Schizosaccharomyces pombe: one gene and its partner. The gene in region 2 interacts genetically with the main gene of each other region. Each region holds a gene or a part of one and is shown on either strand. Other genes may lie near its edges.

Region 1 (7,943 bases), 700 kb from region 2:
TGGGTTAAATATGGATGTCATATAATGAGTTTTTGCGCGTTACGTTCTTAAGCTTAAGAACACGCGAAAACGTCATTATTTATTTTATCTTGTCAGCAATACTACACTACGCTATGATACACTACGTTGCGTATCACTATATGTCATATGTTGGAATACTAGCTAAGATCCGTTTATTGATAATCACGGGTAACTATCCGTCTATATACATAGTTACCCGTTGATAACAACTATTTAGAAATATTATAAATACCGTTACAACTGAACCTCGTTCCTCAGTTCAGTTATGAGCTATATTAGTGATAGGTAACATTATAACCCAGTTAATACAATACCTATACTCAGTTGCTACTTATACAACCTGTGTATTGTAATATAATAGACCACAAGGAAAACTCACCGCAGTTCTACGTATCCTTAAATCAGATACCAAACTGCGTAGCTTACATATCTGAATAAGGACATTAGTTGCGCAAAATATCTATAGCTCTTCAAAAAATATCAAAATATTAAATTACAATACAAAGCTTTTTATTATAATAAAATTAAAGTCGTTTTTTTTATTGGAAACCAGAAATAATAATTATGCAGCTAACCTATTTTATTATCTGTTTACAAACTCTTAAGAAACATTAAAAAGGGCATTATACCAAAAAATTCATATTTTACTATTTGGCTTTCTTAACATCATTGGAAACATCCATACCAGCGTCTGAACTGGACCGTTTAGGAGGAGAATTAGTGTCAACAGAGTGAGTTTTGGCGATTAACTTTTTCTCTTTAACTTGAGCTGCTGGGACTTCAGAATTGCTTTTATTGGAATCAGTGTTTTTAGAAGCTTCCAAACTTAAAATTGCAGGGCTATCTTTTTTCTTCGATTGCTCCAACTCTGCTCGCACTCTAGCTAAGTTCTTTTCCAGCATGCTCAACTTCAACTTGTTACGCATCTCGAGTTCTTTTCGGATGTTATCTAGTTGTTTTTGATGCGACTGAGCAACTTGTTCCTCAACATCCTTCTGTAAAATTTCTCTGCGCTTTTCCCATTCCTTTTGCACAAAAGTAGTAAAGTCGGCAGTGGAAGTCGAAAAGTCAGATATGGACTCGTTGAAGATTACTTGAAATGTAACTGATAACATCTCTTCTGTCTTTTTTAAGTTTTCCAAATCTTTAGTATCAGCATGTACCGAAGCGGACTCTGCTTCCTCGGATGACACAACTGTCTCTTGCAAAGCTTTCACTTGATCTTGTAAAACCTGATTTTGTTTCCTGAGTAATTCGTTTTTCTGTAGCTCTTTTGCAATTCTCGAACGTAACCTCAAAACTTCCTGTTGCATGACTTTCTTCCTTTCCATTTCTTCTTCGTTGGGTATTTCAGTATCCTTACTGGTTCCCTCAGATTTATTACTATTTTGTCTGACCTTCTCAAGCTCCTCCTTCGTAGTATTTAAGATATCCATAATTTCACTTAGCTTTCGCTGTGTAGAAGATAGTTCTTCCTTAGTGCTATTGAATTCTTCCAGTGACACCGTACTTGGTTCAGACTGTGTAGTAGCAGTGGGGGTTGCAGAAGGTTTGTTGAGTTGTTCATTGAGCTGATGACATTCCGCAACCTTGGCTTCTAATTCAGAAGTCTTTTGCGAAAGTTGTTGACGTATTTGATTGTGCTTTTCTAAGCTCTTGTTAACTACCTGCTCATATTTAGTTCGCCAAGCAGCTGCTAGTTTTGTATTCTTCAACTCTAATTGTTCAATCTTGGATTGGTTTTGCGCTCTCTCATTTTCCAAATCTTCGCTTTTTGATTTAACAGTTTCCAATTCAGATTTCAAATGACCAATTTCTTGATTTAACTCCTCTATTAAGTTTTCTTTGGAAACAAGTTCATTCTTTAAGCGTGAAGCATCACTAGACGTAGATGTGCTACTGTTCAAAGATAGTAATATTTCTTGGTTATGACGCTTGTATTCTTCGTTGCTGTTTTCAAGCTTTTTTACAGCTGCTTTCTCTGTTTGAAGCTGTGATTCTAGTTGTTCTTTATTAAGTCTAAAATTCGCCAAATCAGTTTTAAGAGTTTCTATTTTCTCTCTTAACTCTGTGATAACTTCCTCGTTCCTTTCTAAATTTTCTCGGAGAGATTTGTTGCTCTCATTTAATAAAGCAACCATGTTTAGATAATTTGAACGTTCCCCAACGGATTCAGAAGTACTGCTAACATCCTTTTCCGTTATACCTCTTTGCAGATCGGCGATAACTCGATTCGATGATTCAACGGTTCGCTTGAGTTTCTTATTTTCAAGGAATAATAATTGTCGTTGGCATGAAATAATCTCCATTTCTTTGGATATACGCTTCACATGATTCTGTAAATCTGATAATCCTAATTTCATAACAGAATCTAAATCCGGGGATGGGCTAGTTATTTCTGCAAAGTTGAGATTGGAAGATTGAAGTTGGGTTAAAAGCATTGCGTTTTGCTTTTTGAGGACATAAACTTCCTGTCTCAAAGGATCTTCTTTTTCACTAATGGGAAAGGGCTGAGATTCGTTTATACCGGCCTTTAAGGCTATTTCTTTATTCAAATCTTCAACCTGTTCTAATGCCTTCGTGTAATCCTCGCGCAGTTTTTGAAGAGTCGATCTAGCATCGGCATGTCTTAAAAGTTCCTTTTCATAATCTTCACGAGTTTTTCTTAAATCTTCAGTTACCAACAACAACTGTTGTTTATAATCATTCTCCTTCTCTAAATGTTGCTTTTCAGCATTTCGGTGTGACGAAAGCTCATTGTTAAGATGCTTATTTTCCTCTAAAAGCAAGGCAACTCTTGTTTCGCTATCTTTAGTAATATTCTCACAGCGTAAAGAAGAAGAAGCTATCTCATCTTGTAGAATAACTATCCTTTGTTCAAGAGAAGTGATTTTTAAATGATTTTTTTCCAAGGACTCTGAAGTTTGCAATCGATACTCATCATACTCAGTTTTAACTCTTTCAACCATTTCTTCGGCGAGTTTGCTTGCGGCCTGTAACTGTTCAATATTCCTTAAAGAATAATTGTATTGGGATTCTAAGGAAGTATGTTTAGATTGCAAGTCACTAAGCGATGATTCTAGCAAAGCTTCCCTTTCGCTATAGGACGTATTTTTTTGCTGTGTAAACTTGGCTTCCAAAGTAGAAAATCTTTGTTTTTCAAGTTCAATGACGCCGTTTAATTCTTGGAGTTTTATTTCCATCATTTGTTGATTATCTAACAATTTCCTGTTGTCTTCACTTAACGATTGTTTTTCGAGCATTAATGTCTTAATCCTGCTGGAGTACTCAATTCCGCTCTTTTCCAAAGATTTCTGTAGAGAATGAAGATCATTACTCATCTTTTCATTTGACTCCTTCAACTTCTGCAAGGAAAGGCTTAAGCTTTCCTTCTCAGATTCAAATTTTACTTTTCTAGCAGCATCAGATAGCTGTTGCTGGTTAAGAAAAGTTTGAAGATCTGATACAAGACTCATTAGTCTCTCGCGCTCAGCCAAAAGTTTATCGTTTTCAGATATTAAACGCTCTTGCGTCCTTTTCCGTAAATCTTTTTCACCCTTCGAAGCATTTAGTTCACCTTTTAATCTTTCAGCAAGTGAGTTAACATGTAATAATTCTTCGGCAAATTTACTGGCTCTCTGATCCTGTCGACTAATTATATCCTGTAAATTTTGATTAATACTACGAAGCTCCTTGGCTTCCTTTTTAAAGGCTTCAACGTCATTATTAGCATTAGTTAATCTATCAGTAGATAACTGCTGCTGATATTTGGAATTTTCTAACTCTTTACGTATTGCTTCCATCTCACTCAACAAATCCTGATTTCGCTTAGACAAGGATTCCTGAATAGCTGTCATTTCGTTACGATAAACTTCGTAATTTTTCTCAAGTTCTCTTGTAGATTCATCAATGGATTTCATTTTGTCATCAATATTGCCCGCGGAAGAATTGTGAGACAAAATACTGCTTCGAGAAGTAGCTAACATTTCTTTCAGTAAATTTCGTTCATTAAGTAAGGACTCATTTTTTATTTTTGACGAATTTAACTCACTTTCCAAATTTTTGATTTGCTCTGAAAGTGTATTTGAATTTTCTTTAACTGCATTGGAAATTTGATATTGGACAGTTTGCTTTTGGATTTCAACATCGCATTCAAGGGCCCGCACTTTTTCCCGCAGTTCTAGAGTTTTCGAAACAGCTTCCTTTATAGATGAAAAATTAGCAAGCTCCTTGTTTACTAGTGTCTCAGATGCAGTAGAGGGATTTTGAGCGTATTCATCAAGCGCAACTTGCACAGTAGCGGGAACGTTTCTTGATTTAGTTTCATTCAAATGATCAAGTTCGGCCATGAGACAAATAACTTCTCGAGAAAGATCACTGCATTGAGTACGAGATGCGGTGAGCTGCAAGTAACAAGCTTCTTGGCGCATTTTGGTCGATAAAAGCTCTGCTTGTACTTTGGTTAGGTTGTTGTTAGATGTTTCCAAAGATTCGCTAAGAAAATTCATATAAATGTTATTCCTAACGATTTCACTCCTCTGTTGTTTGACAACTGGAATCCTTTGTTTAACTTGTTCACAAAATGAGGAGAATTTGTTAGTCAAGCGGTCTAGCTGAAGCTTTAAGCTAGAAACCTTCTGTTGGAGTTTCATATTGTCCGAATATACTTTCGTAAATGAAAATTCGGGATTTTGAACGGCGCTTAACTTTTGCGCCAAAGGAGAAAACAAACCTACACCAGCTGAAACAGAGGTATTTTTATTTTCTTTAACCACTTGTAGTTCACTAACTACACTATCATATTTCTCTTGCAGTTCCCGCAAACTATTCTCCGAAATCAATAGCTGTTGCTTGTTATTATTTAACTCTTCGGTCACATTATTGTATAGACTTTGTTGCGAAGTGAGCTTTTCTTGAAGTGCAGCAACCTCTGATTGCAACTCTGAAGATTTAGACTCCCAAAGAGCTGTAAGTCGTTTCTGAGTTTCCACTTCTTCTTCAAGTTCTTTGATTGAAGTGGGGTCGGTTTCAAGGATTTTTGATATGTTCCCATCGGAGGAATAATTGCTCCGCTTTTGCTCAAAAAGCTGTATTTTTTCGTTAAGCTCTGTATTCTGTTGGGCAAGCCCAGCAAGCTTTTTCTCCAAATCTTGAACTTGACGAGATGAAACTTCTAATTTTTCGCAAACTTTCGAATGATCTGATTGCAAACTAGCCAAATCAGAGACTAAAGCGCTTTTCTCCTGAACGAGTATCTCTTCCTTGACACGACTGCTACTGCTAGCAAACATGTGCTGTTTCTTTCTTTCTTCAATATCAGACAATGCTTGATGCGCACTCTGGACTTGCTCTCCTAAATGTGAATTTTCATTTTGTAGGGCTTCGATTTGATCTTTCGCGATTGAAAGCTGCTCAGAAGCAATCTTAGATTGCTCTTGTAATTCAGAGTTAGCCCTTCTAAGCGACTGGTTCTCAGTAGTCAATGCATCAAAGCGCTTATTTTGATTCTCCAAGTTGGTTTTCAGCGATTCGTTCTCATTTCTCAATACCGATATAAGATTACGTGATTCCTCTGCTTGATTATTAGAAGATTGAAGTTGTTGCTCAAGAAAGTTAATCTTCTTCGTAAGAACATTCTCCTTATGCTCATGGTTGACTTCTTGAAGGACAAGCTGATCCTTTAAAGCGTTTATGTCTTTAACCTTGGTTTTAATAGCAGATATAAATACAGCGAAACCATTGACAGACACCAGGGGTTTTATATCCTCAAAAGATACATCCAAAAACTCGTGTACCAGCTGAATATCATCTTCAAGTCCCCCCGAAGACATTTTCTAGCCTGGAATCAACGTTCGATGACTTATGAAGCACCAGTGTACGTATACGAGAAGTAAGTGATCAACCTCGATGTACAGAAATAATACCACGTTAGAAGAAATGCGACAATTACGTTGAGAAAAACAAATGAAGCAAATTTAAAAATTGTAATTACCGTGAGTATTAAAAAAAAAGCTAAATTTCTGTATTCTTCTCTATCACGCCTTGAACGTATCTTGAGTAGCAGTGCACTATTCGGACCTGTCGTCCACACAACACCAATTTTGGTGACTTTACTAATTATTTAATCAAATATCATCCTAGTGATGTTTGGACAAAACAATTCTTCCGGATTTGGAGGAGGAACCGGTGCTTTCGGTCAAAATAATCAACAAACTGGTGGGTTATTTGGTTCCAACTCCAATACTCCAGGGAACACTTTGTTTGGTTCCCAAAACACTTCTACAACTGGCTTTGGGCAGAACACTACTCAACCCTTGTTTGGATCAAATACGAACGGTGGACTATTTGGAAATAGAAACAACACTACCACGACTGGTGGCACAGGTTTTGGAATGTCCTCTGGGACAGGTATGTTTGGCCAATCCAATACTCCTGCTTTTGGAGGCACGAACAACGCCACAAATCCTAGTGGTGGTGGCCTCTTTGGATCAAATACCGCCAACAACAATGCAAATACTGGAACGTCATTTTCTTTTGGATCGAACGCTGGTTCAACAGGGTTCGGTAACACTGCATCGAATACTGGTACCGGTGGTGGCTTGTTTGGTTCTCAAAATAACGCTGGCAATACTGCTGGAAATACAGGTTTGGTTCGCAAGGTACTGGTGGTGGCTTGTTTGGTTCGTCCACTACACCCGCTACGACCAACGCTTTCGGAACCTCTGGATTTGTCTCAAGCAATGCAAACGCTGTGAATGGTACAGCTAACCCACCTTATGCGGTAACTTCTGAAAAAGACCCTCAAACAAACGGTACTAGTGTCTTCCAGTCTATAACTTGTATGCCCGCTTATAGATCTTATTCATTTGAAGAGTTGCGTTTACAAGACTATAATCAAGGACGACGTTTTGGCAATGCTTCTAGTACGAACACTACTTCTGCATTTGGTTCAACACCCGCATTTGGAGCTTCAACTACTCCGTTTGGTCAGAATTTGTCAGGTACCACAAATAATGCAACACCGTTTGGTACATCGAATGCTACTAATACCACTCCTGGTTCCGGTCTCTTTGGCGGTGGATCTGCATTTGGTAGTAACACTACCAATACAGGGTTTGGTTCTGGAACAAATAATGCATCCGGTGGGTTATTTGGTCAAAACAATAATACCACCTCAACTCCTTCAACCGGTCTTTTTGGTGGCTCTACATTTAATCAACAAAAACCAGCTTTTTCAGGTTTTGGCTCAACCACTAACACTACCAATACTGGTACAGGAACGGGTCTTTTTGGTTCAAATAACGCAACCAATACAGGAACAGGTCAAACTACGGGTGGCTTATTTGGTGGTGCTGCCACTGGTACGGGTACGGGATTTGGTTCTTCTACTGGGGGGTTTGGAAGCAACACGAATAACCAACCCAATTCAGGTACCATGGGTACAGGTTTGTTTGGTTTTGGCGCTAATAATAATACGGCAAATAATAACACCGCTCCAACATCTACTTTTGGTGGTAACAATAGTAGTAATTTTTCCTTTGGTGCCAATAATAATGCAGCCACTAAGCCTTCTGGATTCGGTTTTGGTTCCACGACCACTACTCCTGCCAGCGGAGGTTTTTCTTTTGGGCAAAATGCTAATAATGCTCCCAAGCCAGCTTTTGGATCCACTGCTACCACTGCTCCTAAACCAGCAGGGACAGGTTTGTTTGGTGGTTTAGGAGCCGGTGCTAATACCAACACAGCTACTAATGCTACCGGCACTGGCGGAAGTTTATTCGGAAATGCGAACACTGCGGGTTCTAACATGTTTGGATCAGCCAACTCCAGTACTCCTGGTACCGGTTTATTTGGCTCTACGCAAACGAATAATGCTACTTCCAATACCGGAACCGGGCTCTTTGGATCCAATAATGCAAACA
Region 2 (6,789 bases):
TTTGCATCGCATACTCACCATTTTTAGGTTTAAAAATGCTGGAAAAGAAATGCCGGGTGCAACGTATTAATAGTACATCTAATGGTAGACTTGTTTCCTAATTCCACTAATTTCCGGTTATGGTATTTATATTATGTTTGGTGCTTTTTCATTATTTTCAATTTATAACTTACTATGCTATTGATTGTTTGCAGCATTATTTAATTTTTGGGTATTAATATACGAAAACAAAAAAATTTTTATAACTCGTATTCGCTGAAAAGCAAAGAAAAATAGTTTATACTCTTTTTCGTCTTTCTACATGCGGTGCAGAATTATTTCGAAATGTAGTACGACATTTATCAATGAACTAAAAATTGTTATTAGAAGTTAATTAGACTCATGTTTATTCATTATCCACCTATTCCTTTAGTCTTCTGTTTTGTGGATCATCTCATAATCCAAGTAGCTCGACGGATAAAATATATAATTAACATAAACGCTTAAATTTTTCCACATATTTAAGAATTGCCATAATACATCAAAATCGCTACCAAATGTTACGCTCTTCAATTAATGTTCTTAAAGCATCGTAACTACAGCAATGTGTACTTTCGAACGGCTAAGAGAGATAAAATTTATTATTATGGATTTAGAGATAATTAATAAATAAAGCGGGAATCCTTGTCTATACGCGGATATGAATTCAAATAAGAAAAATCAAAAAAAAAAAGAGAAATCACTTTAGATGAACAAATATTTAGATAATAGTAGTTAACATTTGATATACATGCTAATTATCAGAAGTAGCAGAATGCCATTTCGATAGGCTATTCATACTAAACTCATCATGTTCCTTATATGGATCCGTGCGAAAATCTTCTGATGAGTACAGGTTCAAAGCAAACCCGCTATCTGTATCGTCCGAAAATGTTTGCCATTGATCTAAACATGTAGTCACGGAACCTAAGCTAGCTGTGTCAGCTAATTCATCATCAAAGGCTTCAATTTGAAGCCTCAATTGGCTGGGTTTACCGGGCGAGCTTTCGCTTGTATCTTCAAAACCAAAAATATCTTCGACAGGCTCATCTTTAACATTGTCCGAGTAAACCTTTGGTGAAAGTATTTCAGGAGTAAAAAATGTCGATGAGGGGTTTTCGGGGTTGCCTTTCAAGTTGAAATTATTATCAGGATCCAAAAGATGCGGTACATCTCTATCTGATGATTCTTTTTCAACATCATGTGTTTGACGATTGATTGAGTTGATGCTCGGATTTTTTAGGGTGCTTGGGCTTGTCGAAGAAGGTCTGTCGTCGATGTCATTAGAACTTTCAAGAGAAATGCATTTATCTAAATCAGATTCAAACCGCAATACTTGCAATTGTGACTCCATTTTTCTGATTTCCAAATATAATGATTGCGCTTTAGCATCGACCTTTTTAAGGGCTTGTAAAATAACTACTCTTGTTTTCGGCTGTAGGGGTGCACATGTCGATAAATTTTTGGCATTTCTTTGTAATACCATGAGTTTCTTATTGAACTCAGTAATAGATGTTTCAAGTTGGTCAATACGTGTCTTAATTGTCCGGGCACGTGCAATTTCCATATCCTGTTTCATTTGAGCTTCAATTGCTGCTAATTCTTCCTCCATATACTTTGGATAGCAAGAAAAGTCTCTTTTAGGATGGTAAGAATCACTTACAGGCATTCGCAGACCAGCTGTACGAAGTGTTGAGATGTAGTTAATTTTAGCTACCCATTCTATCATGCTTTCTTCTGTTGGAGCACAAAGAGTCTCTTCAGATCCATCCCGAAATATGACGGTAAAAGAACAATTGCGTACATTCTTCTTATCTCTGTCACAATAGGCAAACGCATTAACAAGCGAATAACTGGTATCGGGGGAAAACTCTTCTAGAGGTGGAGTAAATACAAGCGGAGGAATTTTTGGAAATTCATATTCCATAGCCTCTGTATCTATACCTTGCAACGTGTCAAAACTGCTCGAGGTAGTTGTAAAATTTTTGTAACGCCTTTCATAAGCTTTCTTTTGAGCCATGAGATCTTTAGCCCATACCAAATTACGAAAAAAAAGTATTCTAGAAGCGGTCAACAAAACCAAATGCTCTTTGTATGAATTGTGCCCCACACTTCTTCGCTTCTTTTCACACCGTGGTAAAATGCCCAGCATACTGATACTAAAATCAACTAGTCCCGGGTCAGCATTGTCTGGTAATCCAATAAAATGATTGGAGAATGCCATTGGATGAGATCTTTTAGAAACAAGCTGAATTATCGCAGGGCTGGAAATCAACTTTCTAACGTTCAGCAAAGACGCAATATCTTTGATACCTGGAGATATGAATTTTCCATCATAAGAGAGAGATATTTCAGGCCGTGAAATATTCAATTGATTTTCTAACGTAAATGTGTAAGGAGAAAGCCCTAACCTTTTACGAGATGTGAAATTGTACTTTTCGTTCTTTTCCTTCTCAATGAGAAGCAACTCATCATCCAGGTTGACAAAAGGAGTAAAGGTAATATTGTCATAATAATACTCCATTATCTCCGGAGCTAATTCATCTATGTCACAGAGATTTATGAATTCCTGCTTCGTCATTTTATGCTTATTATTTGAATTAAAAACGTCAGTGTGGAGCATCATCAAAGAAAACACCAGAATGTAACACTGATCTTGGGAACTGAACATCCCAGGGTTACATTCAAAATAGCGCTTAGAGAATGCATTGATGACACGATCAATCTGTTGAGTTTCCTTAGGAAGGTGAGATTTAAGTAAAAATAACCGCAAGCAAAAATCCAACGGCCGATTTTCAAACTCCATTCCCGACATACAAAGGTGCAGAGCTTTGTTCAATGTTACATGATCCTTTTCTGCTAGAACAGGGATCATACGACTATAAGGAACTGTCTCTCTAAGCTTTGAGAGATAACTCTCCGCAGTATCATCTGCTGTGAGCTCCGGAACAGAAGAAAGAAACTTGGTCGGATTAGGCTTAATATCAGAAAATAAAGCCGAATTTTCAATAGTCTGAGCTACGCATTCGTCATCATCCCGGCGCAAAGTTCGAAAACTAAAAATACTAGAACGGTTTTCTCTCAATCTTTCTAAAGTCCTTTGGGTAGGAATCGTAGAACTACGAGGCCGTGACCGAGAGCTTTGTGGCTGTGGTTGTTCAACATCATTAGGAATAGAAGGCGAACGATACAACCGGAGGGAACCCACAGAAGAAGAAGGTGATGGAACGTTAGAAGTCTGATCGCTTTTATCAACTGGCTTAATGTAATCAGAAGATATGGAAAACTGGATAGGAGGTCTTTTTACTACAGGTAAAGAAGCAATGCGTTTCCCCAGGTCGGACATTTTGACACTACTTTTCCGAGTACCATTCTGTAAAATCGTATTATCAGATTCCGCTGACAAATTCTCATTTTGCTGGTTTAGAGGGCCACCAGCTTTATCGAGAGAACCAACTTCAGAAGGAGAACTAGTAGTTGAGTTAACATCGGGATTCCAGGACTTCCTAGACCACTTCGGAAATCGAAAAAATGATCGAGAAGCACGAAGTTTCGCCGAGTTGATACTAGATGGTGATTTCAAAGAAGGATTGGAACCGCTTAGGTCTGTCGAAATAGGAGACGTGACATCTTTTGGAAAATTGGAATCGTTTGAAACGCTTTGACTTGAATACGATGCAACAGGAGAATTTGCTTGCTGCAAATCCGAAGACCAGTTGTGGTTGAAGTAAAACGAGTGCTTGGCTCTTGCGATCGGATAAAAAATATTTTTTTTCTTAGAAGAGGGCGAATTACTCAAGTCGGTCTGTGAATTACTTGTGAAAGATCCGCTTGACTTTAGTTTACTGTTATGCTCATTTAGTTTTTCTGAACGTTTGGACAGATATGTCTGACTAGACTTTTTAAAGAAAGAGGAGAAACTAGAAGCGTTAGGAGAATTTACAGTGGTATCCTTTTCGGATTTATTTGAAGACTCCTGGCTGGAAGGAATTCTGAAGGTCATTTCGCGCCTCGGCGCATGTAAGTTGAAGAAAAAGAAAGACTTAAAAAAGATTGAAGTAAAGAGAGACCTCGAAAATGAAAGGAAGATTCAAAAAGAAATGTAATGTAAACTTAAGTCAGGATCTAAATTTATAACAATTGGAGACAGTAGATAGATTTGTCGACTATACGAGGATAAAACTGACTGTAATAAGGAGAAAGCAACCAACGTATTACCTTTAATGAACAGATATTTTTTCCCGAATAATCAAAAGAAAAATCAATTGAGAAACTACCGAAGCGAACGAACAAGGGAAAAACAATTAGTGATTAATATAATGCATGCAGCATGGAATGAAATGAAATGAATGAAAAGTAATGAACTGGAAGGTATGGAAGATGAAAAATGGTTATGAACAAAGAACGAGAAACTGAAACGAAGATGTAAAAGTGAAACTTCTGTGAGACGGTTCAAATGAATCGAAATTTTTTAAAAAAAAAAGCACAAAAACCAAGTGTGATCTGATTTAGGCAGCGCAGAGCAAACCGAATAAGCAAAGCAACGAAAGTAAAATGAACTCTAGTAATTTGAAACCCTCAATGGAAATACGAACACAAAATTAATGAGCAAAAGTCATGTCCTTGGGTTGATAGCAGGAAATTTAATGAATCGTCAATTGCTAACCAATTCAACTAATTAATTTCCCTAGAATTTTAATAATGAGTACAAGTTTTGGTGCTCCAGAAAAAAGAATTGAAAAGTAAATACTAGTTTTGTTGGTTACAGTAGTGTTATTTGCTCCGTCCACAACATGCCCGTGTCTTTATCGCCCAATGCATACAAACCCGCCCACCGCAAGGTATTCTGCCACACCCTTCCTCGTATGACCAAATCCGACATGGTCTGATAGAAACGTAGATAGCAAATGGCTAGCACGATGTTCCTGATAATCTAATGGGGCAAATGGCACCATAATGTAGTTTATTTTTTTATTTCTAATGTCAATGATTTAGAAAAATTTAGTTCGCTATCGCAAGTGCTTAAGATACACTACTTCAAAATTATAAACATAACAAATATTTTTAACAAGCTCAGCTGAACATGTTTCTAGGTTGCACCCTTTACTCATTATAATAATTTTTTTTTTAAAAATTAATTTTGAAAGCAAATAGCAACCAGATGTGGCAATAAAAAAAGTAACAAGTAATTTACCCACAACAGAAAAATCTAGGTATTTTTTATAATTTTAGAGATGCTTTTGTTTTACTATATACATAATTCCTAACTGTTCATAAAATTTATTTAACCACTTTACCAAATATTTTGTTTACATACCAATTGAAGTACAACCAAACCTGACCATTACAGTTATTGATCGTGCTCAATTTGTATATTGTTTTATAATGACTTAAAAAAGATTAAGTGCAAACATCAAGTATAAATTAAGATACTATGCTCACAAATTAGTGCCACAATTTTTGTAATAAGGCTAACTCATTCTTAGTAAATTTTACTTAAAAAAGAAGAAAACGAAAAATTAAAAGCACTTTTATTTTTCTAATAGTAAATGTATTTATATTTATGATATGTATAAGGATGGAATCATTTCACTTATATATTTTAAGTAAAAATTCCTTAGCTAGCTGAAACATTTTCCTTGTGATTAAATTTCTAACACTCAGTTATTTCGTATTTGTTTACCTTATAATAGAAGTACTTAAATATCGTTATTCTAATATAACGAATTGCTTCATCTTGGTTAAAAAATGCAGCGTCACTCTTAAGTCAAAAACATCAAGTACGCCGCTACAAACATGCCGCATCCGACAGCCGAAAGCGCATATACCGGTTTAAAAATCATCCTTTAGACGAGTGGACATATCGTTCTTAATGCTTTCTTATATGAATTGAAGTTTTTGGAAACTAATAGAAGGAAATGAAAAATCATGGCCGCTCCTGCAAATGCGTCTTCAAAAAAGGATCATGTTATTCCAGTCTTACTGAACGAATGTAGCATTGATTCTCCGTCTTTTAGGGCGAGCATGTATTATCTAGGGAATCAAATCAAAGCGTTTAACGAATGGTCTCATGATTTCTTATGTTGCTGCAACAAGTTTATCGAGTCAATAATGGCGATAGAGCCCATTGTCGCCAGTATGTCGTTGAATGCTATGCCTTCTAATGTTGCTTCAGGATTTTTTGATCCTGATTATGCAACAACCGCTTTGCTTCACGGTCAAGACTTATTTCGGTCGTCATATATGGTGCAACTTCAACAAGCTAAAAATTTACGGAAATTTATTGTTGCTCCATTAGATCTATTTCGAGATTCAAAAGTTAAGCCTTTGCTTCAATTAAATGATCGCTTTAAAGCCGAGCAAGCCAAGTATGATGCGGAAGTCTTAAGGTATTCTTCTCTTGGACATTCAAAAGATTTATCGCAAATGCGGGATGAAGCAAAATCTTTATACGAAGCTCGTAAAAGTTATTTTACAGTTGCTCTACAATACGTAGTTCGAGTTACCTCCTTTCGCTCATCCATTGATTTCATAGTTATTGAAAGCATTTGCAAGTTTTCAATTGAAACGTTTCGTTTGACTGATCGTCTGCACGAGTCCAATAGGCATATAAATGATCAACTAATTCGCTTACTCTCTTACGAAACTAAACTTAAGGAATCTTATCCTTCACTAAAAAGAATAGTATCTAACGTTTTTGATAGAATTGAGAAGGAAATTCTTAAGAGAGTACAGCCACCAACTAATTTAGACGCATATCGTTTCGATCCC

The links.
Region 1: mutations in sec73 (region 2) and alm1 are lethal when combined (synthetic lethality), as found in Schizosaccharomyces pombe (one study listed by BioGRID).

Annotation. Positions count from the first base shown.
Region 1 is NC_003424.3:3,190,864-3,198,806, forward strand, and holds alm1 (nucleoporin Alm1), read right to left. Parts: upstream 5,905-7,943; 5' UTR 5,853-5,904; coding exon 669-5,852; 3' UTR 584-668; downstream 1-583. UniProt on the Schizosaccharomyces pombe protein: Maintains the proteasome and its anchor cut8 at the nucleus envelope and is required for kinetochore component proteostasis. Proper kinetochore stoichiometry ensures the correct attachment of kinetochores to spindle microtubules during cytokinesis.
Region 2 is NC_003424.3:2,488,095-2,494,883, reverse strand, and holds sec73 (guanyl-nucleotide exchange factor Sec73), read right to left. Parts: upstream 4,809-6,789; 5' UTR 4,022-4,808; coding exon 773-4,021; 3' UTR 521-772; downstream 1-520. Other genes in the region: RING finger-like protein Ini1, read left to right, coding at 28-70; ltc2 (BAR and PH domain-containing protein), read left to right, coding at 5,947-6,789.